2 linked regions of the Mus musculus genome follow. The protein of the gene in region 1 purifies or fractionates together with the protein of each later gene. This does not show direct contact. Links are inferred from orthologs where the notes say so. Each region holds a gene or a part of one and is shown in the gene's direction. Other genes may lie near its edges.

Region 1 (4,455 bases):
AGCTAGGCCGGGCAGAAAGCAGCTGCTCTCCACAGGCAAGGAGGGAGGCATAAGGTCAGTGAACGGGTCACAGGGATGGGATGACCCTGTTCTGGAGGAAGTGAGAAGGGATGCTTGGGAGCCAGCCTGAGTGATGGCTTGTGGAGTAAGCTTGACTGGGGCTTCCCCAAATTCTTCATCAGAGTCTCTGGGATGTATCAGAGATCCTTAACCGGTTTAGGGAGACAAGGGCTTCCTAGAGCAAGGGATGAAATGTAAAAACCACTCTCCAGTATGTGAAAGCACCCATGCACACAGACAGCCATGTACAGCCATAAGCACACACTCACATACATTCCATGTTTTGGAGGGGGGGGCTGGCATGGACCACAGGTTAAAAGCCCAGATACAGGTTGATTTACAGTAAAGGAGAACTAGGATAATAAAAGTTCGTCACATGTAAAAATAAGCTTGCTGGGCATGGGTGGCACAGGCCTTTAATCCTGGCACTTGGGAAGCAGAGGCAGGCAGATCTCTGTGAGTTCAAGGCCAGCTTGGTCTACATAGCAAGTTCCATGCGGGCCAGGGCTACATAGTGAGACCCTGTCTCAAAACAAACAAACAAACAAACAAACTGTAAACCAAAATACAAAATAAAAAGTTTACTAAGGTTTTATGAGTTTTTTTTGTTTTTGTTTTTGCTTTCTGGAAAGTGTGTGGCATGTGAATTTTAGGGAACAGACATGCTAACTAGAGGCTGACCTCTGATGGTGGGATAAGGGAAGATTTCTACGTACCCGTCCCTTCTCACTAAATAAAACAGCATTCTTTTCTTTTGAGACAGCATCCAAGACTCAGGGCGCACCTGGGGAAGAATAAAGAGACCAACCGACTCTAGGCCTCAACGACTTGGGCTGGGGACTGGCTATATTAGCCTAGAGCCCTTCGCCTGGCCAGGGCACTTCATTATTGTTTTTGATTAGTTTGTGTCTCTTTAACTCATTTCCTTTATTCCTCGCGCGTTTCAGCCTGGCAAACAACGTAATGTTATTTATACCAACCCCTACGCGCGGCCCCCACCCCGACCTCAGGTCTGAGACGCTCTCCCGTGCACGCGCGCCCCAGAACCAGGCGCTCTCGGTCGGGCGGCACATGCGTGCGCGCCCTCGCGCACGGCGGGCACGCGCACGCGCGCGTCTCCGCCCGCAGCTCGCCCCCCCACCCCCTCCCGTTCCCGGGCGGCGGGTCTGAAGCGGCGGCGCGATGAGCTGGCCGGCCGCCCCCGGCTCGGGGCTGTGAGGCGCTCGGGGCCGGGGTGCGCGGCGGCGCGGCGGGCGGCGGACGCTCCTGCTCGGCGGCGGCCATGCGCGCGGGCCGGGGCGGCGTCCCGGGGAGCGGCGGCCTGAGGGCCCCGCCGCCGCCGCTGCTGCTGCTGCTGCTGGCGATGCTGCCCGCCGCCGCCCCGCGGTCCCCGGCCCTGGCCGCCGCTCCTGCGGGACCCAGCGTGAGCCTCTACCTGAGCGAGGACGAGGTGCGCCGGCTGCTTGGTGAGTGGCGCGGCTCCCGGGGCCTCGTGAGCCCGCGGTGCTGCCGCTGCGCCGCCCGCGCTCTCTCTCTCTCTCTCCCTCTCTGCAGCCTCCCTGCGCGTGTCACTCTAGGCCGCGGAGCTCCGGAGCCTCGGAGTCGGCGCTCGGGACACGGGTGGCCGCTCCTTAGCCTGCTGTGGGTGGCCCACAGGCCACGCCGCCGCCGTGCGCTTGCTTTCTGGTTAGCGAGTGGGGGGCAAGGTGAGCCGGGCGCCCTGAGTTGTGTGGCATCCTGCACACCTTCGGGCCGACCGGATCCCAAGCATCGGGGTTTGCCTTGGGTTCCTTGAGTGTGACCTGATGCTGCCGTTCCAGGCCACTTGCCTACTCTGCAGACCCTGAAGCGAGAGGAGAACTTGGCTTTGGGGTCCGTCGGCGGTGGTTCCGTTTACCTGTTTAGCCCGTTGTTTGGGGAGTCCGACTCTGCCCTCCGCTTGGAACTCTGTGCATTCTGAAAATCAGCCCTTGAAGGAAGGCCTGGCCAGCCATCAAAAGGAAGTCTCTGATAGTTAGGGATACCCAGCTTTTGCCGTCTTTTGTGCATTAAGGCAGTCCCTTCACTTTTTATCGGGGTGTTTTAGAGTGAAGTGTTGGAACTGGAAAGGTCTCCCCCTAAATATCCATTAAGTGTCACTTTTTTAGTGAGCGAGTATGCCTCCCCCAAGTGTGTGTGTGTGTGTGTGTGGTGTGCGCGCGCGTGTGTATGCGTATGTGTGTATTAGAGGAGGTTTTTTTGTTTGTTTGTTTGTTTGTTTGTTTTGTTTTGTTTTTCCTTTCCAGACAGGGACTTTATGTAGCCTGGGCTGTTTTGGAATCCACTATGTAGACCAGGTTGGCCTCAAGCTCACAGAGAGCCTTCTGCCTGTTAGAAGAGTTTCTTAGGGTCTGTTGAGAGAGTTTAGCCTCGGAATGAAAACTGCTTTTAGCAGACTGTTTAGACATAGTTGTATGTGTAGGTTTATCGGCTTTAACTAAAGAACTGTGTTTTCCTAACATCCTAATTTAACCTTCCTTATAGTCTAGTTGAATTAGCTGAATTTAGTCTAGCAGAATTGAAATGGCATCTGAGTTACGCCTGGAGCATGGGAGAAAGGCTTGGGAAAAAATAACGATTTGTAGTGCGGCTCCTAGGCGTGCTTTTGTAAGGGTTGTTTTTGTTGTTGTTAAAAGAACTTACGTAATTGTGACTTTATTGACATGTATTTCCTCTCCTGCCTTAGCCAGGATGGAAGTAGGGAGACAGAGATATCTGGCAGCAGACAGAGACGAGTACATGTGCCTACCGTTGCGTGTTAGAGTTTTGCTGTTACTTTTATTTATTTTGGTGTGTGTGTACCACGATGTGTTCTGTGGAGGTCACAGGACACCTTGAAGGTGTGGGCTGTCTTTCCACTATTAATAGGGGGTCCCAGGGCTCAAACTCATGTCATCTGACTGGACGACAAGTGCTTTTACCTGCTGAGCCATCTAGCTGGGGCTTGATATGGACTTAAACATGTTGTTTCAGTTTCTTGTTACCCAGTGGGGCAATTATGGGAGATGAGAAAAGTAAGGCTTTCAGTAACTTGCTGAAGGTAACATGGTTTATTTCATATATTACATATATAATATATACCCACACAAGACAGTGTTTCCTGGCTGCAGACTAAGTTATTGAAGGGCATGTGCATTTAGAAGTTTGATTATGGCATGTTAAAAAAGAGACTGTTGTTCATTAGTACGTGAAGTGATACCTTTGTAGCCTGGAACTGATTTTCTTAGGACAGTAGCTGAGGGGGCACCTGATGGATGAGCACCTGGTCCAGTAGTGTGTGAAATAGAGTGGGGAGCATGGCTCATTAATGCTCCCATCCACCCTTAGGTATTTCAGTTCCATGCAAGCTGAGTTGTCCTGTTACAATGTGGTCTCTAGATAGTCCTCTTGCAGAACCAGGGCCTCTTTCTGTCCCTTTACGTTTCCCTCAGCTGTGCTGCTGTTGAAGGATTCCCATCTGGCTTTGTCTGGGTGGCAAAGTGCAAGTACTGGGACGTTTGCTGGGCCTCCTGAGTGTGGCTGTGATGGTGTGTACGTGCGAGACTGTTGGAGATAGTGCTTTCCACCACGTTTTCCTTTGCGTAAAGGGTTAAGTGACTTCCAAAAGCTCAGGCAAGCTAGTGTCAGTTTTACAGTGTTGCTGAGACCCAGGGTTCAGAATGCCAGGTGAGAACTTGGAAGTTGGAAGTGACAACTCTGTGGAGCTGGCTGTACTTGATAGGAGAAGTGCTTTTAATCCAGACATTAGCTGCACATAATAGAAATCAATTGGATAATAGCAAAAAGGCCTTGAACCAGAAGCCATCAGCACCCTGCCTTTGGGCTTTTTGCCCTCCAGGTCCCACTGCCCCAGTGGGCGTAGTTCACACAACTGTGGTGGAGTTTGTCTTTCCCTTGTTGTCTTTGGAATTTCTAGACTAGTGTGGACTGAACATTTGTCTTCTGGGGTCCTCCTTGTTCATCAGACTCCCCAGGGCAGGTGGGTTTTTTTTTTTTTTAATTTTAAAAAACATCCCAATCACAAAGGAACTCACACAATATCTACTCACTGATAAGTGGATATTAGCCCAGAAACTTAGGATACCCAAGATATAAGATACAATTTGCTAAACACATGAAACTCAAGAAGAACGAAGACCAAAGTGTGGACACTTTGCCCCTTCTTAGAATTGGGAACAAAACACCCATGGAAGGAGTTACAGAGACAAAATTTGGAGCTGTGACGAAAGGATGAACCATCTAGTGATTGCCATATCCAGGGATCCATCCCATAATCAGCTTCCAAACGCTGACACCATTGCATACACTAGCAAGATTTTGCTGAAAGGACCCAGTTGTCTCTTGTGAGACTATGCC
Region 2 (3,628 bases), on another chromosome or scaffold:
CCGTGATGTTTTTCTCTATGAACCTTTCTTTCCTTGCAAGTCAGTAAAACTGCTGTGAACCAAGGAGCCACTTCTGTCCCTAGGAGATGGTGACTTCTGAGTGTCCTATTGAGATAAGTGGGACCCACTGTCCTGGCACTTCCAGAGTCTGCATGGTTTATTCTGGGTGGCTACTGTCCTGGCTCAGAGTCACTTGGGCTCTTTTGCCTCTAGGCTTTAGCTGCAGGCTGGCTCTTGTTCTTTTGTTGCCAACCTGGGTTTGGAGATGTCAGCAGGAGTTTCCTGAAGGTTGGAGCGCTACCCCCTTAATGAATAGTTTTTCTTGGTGCTTTTCATTTCTAGACTTTTACCTGTAATAATTGTGAGGAAAAGGTACTGATCCAGGACTCACTCCTCAGCTCCATGTAAAGCCATGCTCAATGGAGTGCCCTGCACTTCAGTACCTAGGGGGTGGAGGGTCTTATAGAAGGAGTACAGTCTTCATCCACTGCATGGTGACATTAAAGTCAGCCAGGAGACCTTGAGATTCTGTTCCCCAAATAAGCAAAGACACAAGATAACAACTGTTGGAAAAAGTAGCAAGTCATTAGTTTAGAAAGCTGGCCATGATATGTCATACTTATAAATCTAGCACTTTGTAAGCTGATGCAGAAGGATGACTGCAAGTTCAGAGTCAATCTGGGTTACACAGTGAGTTACAGGCCACCCTAGGCTACAGATTCCGTCTCAGTCTGACCTTCTGCCCCATCCCATAAAAGAAACAAGATTCTAGATTGTGTCCTTCCTCTGCTGATGTATACTGTTTATTTTCTTAAAACAAACAAACAAACAAACAAAAAACGTTCAAGCTGCTTGTGTTCCCTTTCAACATCATACAGAATTGCCACCCCAGCCAGAGGGATCATGTGATCAGCATACCTCCTGTCATCACAAGCATAGAGTCCAGTCTGCGTTATGTGGGCAGCTACACCGTCAGGTGCCTAGTGTGCCCATGAGTTTACGCCTATTCAGATTCCACAGAACGCCAGCGCTGTCTGTTAGTAAAGTCCCCACTATTAAATTGAAGAGACAGAAATCCAGGGTTCACAGGCTTTCTTCAGCACGGCCCTTACAATAATCACAATAAGTACTCTTGGGAAGCAATATAACAGAGCTGAGGGCTTGAGATCGTGCGTGATTTGGCTGAAATCACAGTCGGGTAGGGAAATGGGTGCAGTCCTAAACTGAGGGAAAGTGTTTTACTTCTGAGTTTACCTGCTTAAGCCTTACCTTGTTACATCACTTTCTTCCTGAAATATGGCGACTCTCAGGCAGAGCCCAGGTGTGTCCCTCCCCTCCCCTTCTCTGCTTCTCCTCGAGGTGGCAGTTAGAAGGTGAACCAAGTGATAAATTGATCTTCTGTTAAGAACCTCGATTCCTTCATGAGCACGTGAAGGAGTCGCCTTCCTACTGCATTTTAATCAGACTCGAGGAAACATTTGTTCTTTTAATCGTCATACATTGTCCAATCTTCTTTGTAGGTTGGGATCATTCTTCATTATTCTACCCTTGCCACGGTATTGTGGGTTGGAGTCACTGCTAGAAATATCTATAAACAAGTCACCAAGAAAGCCAAGAGATGCCAGGATCCAGATGAGCCACCCGCTCCTCCACGACCGATGCTGAGGTAGTGTGAGCCTTTGTTGTATCGCAGGTGTTCATTACCTATTGTGTTTGCTTTAGTTGAACCACAGTCGTAACTTACAACAGCAAGAAACATTGGTGTGGCCTTTGAGAGGTCAAAGGGAAGACTTGCAAGCTGACTGGTTCTCAGTGCTATGAGCATCAGCGTCTCCACTGTGCCTCTCAAGCTCAGAAGGAGTGAGAGGGTCTCATGGTTATGTGCAGAGCAAGAAGGAGGTATCAGCTCTCTATAAAATACTAGCTTCTTGAAGTTTTTTGACATCCTGTGTCATTGATCTTCATCTTAAGAATTAATTTTGTCTCTCAACAAAAGACAAAATGAGTTCGGAGTTACATCTCCTTCCTGCCCGTTACGATAAAAAGAGTTGTGAATGGACTGATTGTGCTAGATGAGCAGAATTCTCAGTTGTGAGTAGGTTCACTGGAGGCCTGATGTGCACCCAGCTGAGCGCACCCCGCCTCAGAGTTTGCAGAACTGGCTGTGGATACGTATTGTTCAGACCTCCAGAAAGTGCGGAATTGCACGTACAAAGAAGGGCCACTTGTGAGAGGAGGGCACTTGCTGAAGCTGCTGCCATGAACCTGCTTTGGGGTTAGGGAATGGTAGAGGTGTCCCCTGCATAAAGGAGCTAGCTGAGAAGCGCAGGTTGCTTCCATTCAAGTCCATCTTGGGGAACTTGTACATTTGCTAGATTGACTGGCAGGACCGTGGGTGACTCGGACAAGGGTCACAGCTAGTTCTACTTATTGCCTATAGTACCTCAGGGAAGGGCCTCTATAGTTGTCTAAGTTTTGTAAGCTTCATGAGTTTGTAAATTTCTTAAGTGTTTATGCATTTCATACCCAGCTCTTCCAGAGCTGCACAACAGATAGCCACGTTAAAGTGTGAATAGCTGCCGGACAGCGAGCTTTAACTCAGGAAGTGGGTGCTGAGAGGGTCTTGTTAGGACAGTGTGGCATTAGTGTGGAGTGTAAGTTGGGATGCCTGAAAGTAAGAAGTGTTGGTGAGTCACGGGGTTTTCGCTGAGGACTGGAGCCAGAGAGCTTGTACATGCTAGATGTGTGAGGAGGGTCGTGGGATTGCCTGGATCTGAGTACTCGAGTGTCAGAAAGGTGAAGACGTCTGCAGGGTTACAGTAAGCCTGCAGATGGTGTTTCCATCAGCTGAAAAAGACAGGCAAAATAGCATGCATAGTAAGCACCAGGGAGGTTTACCAGTGCTCGGCCCAATTCGTTTCCACATGTTGCTGTCACTGAAGTGCTTGTACTGAGCAAGGTCTAGGGAGAAGTTAGGGGTGTAGTGATCCAGAGGCGACATATCTTTCCAGTAGACGAGCTATGTTTGAAATGAAAAGGAACACCAGATAGACTGGATATCTCCAGCGCTGTTGAGGTTTGCTAACCCAGCCTGCAGAGGCACACTGTAGGGTTGGCTCAGATGCCTGCCATTGTGTGTAAGAACTGAAGAGTATCGGCTAGCTGAAGTCTGCGAAATCTCACTCTCCATAGCTCTTCCTACTGTATTTTATGTGTGTGAATCTTGAAAGTTGCCGTGTAATAATAGACCCACAGTTTTTGGCTCACCAGCTGAATTTAATGGAAGCCACTTTCCCTGAAAACACAACCCACTAAAAGCTTAGGTAGACCCAAGTGTTCTTCCACCTGGCCACACGGTGGCAGCAGCTGACCAGCTTTCCCCAGCTCAGAGCCGGTCCTTTGAAAAAGAAGAAAACAAATGGAAAAGCAAAGCAGAACAAAACCTAACAAAGATCCAAACCAAAATCACATGGGCCATTTATAAAAGCAGTCACTGAAAGTTGTCTCAGTGTGTCATTGGAATCGTCAAAGAATGATGTGCGAAGTGTTTAGTAGACAATGCAGTAAGTATTCCTGCCGCGTAGACAGGATAATGAGCCGTTGTTTCTCCTAGGTTCTACCTGATTGG

Evidence for each region. The genes of interacting proteins can lie anywhere in the genome.
Region 2: the proteins of Ryk (region 1) and Adgra3 purify together in Homo sapiens (affinity purification with mass spectrometry; 3 studies listed by BioGRID and IntAct, with this or other methods). This does not show direct contact. The link is inferred for Mus musculus from reciprocal best matches to the Homo sapiens genes RYK and ADGRA3.

Annotation. Positions count from the first base shown.
Region 1 is NC_000075.6:102,833,714-102,838,168, forward strand, and holds the start of Ryk (tyrosine-protein kinase RYK isoform 1 precursor), read left to right. Parts: upstream 1-1,206; 5' UTR 1,207-1,342; coding exon 1,343-1,526; intron 1,527-4,455. UniProt on the Homo sapiens protein: May be a coreceptor along with FZD8 of Wnt proteins, such as WNT1, WNT3, WNT3A and WNT5A. Involved in neuron differentiation, axon guidance, corpus callosum establishment and neurite outgrowth.
Region 2 is NC_000071.6:49,961,729-49,965,356, reverse strand, and holds part of Adgra3 (adhesion G protein-coupled receptor A3 precursor), read left to right. Parts: intron 1-1,520; coding exon 1,521-1,666; intron 1,667-3,613; coding exon 3,614-3,628. UniProt on the Homo sapiens protein: Orphan receptor that may have a role in planar cell polarity pathway.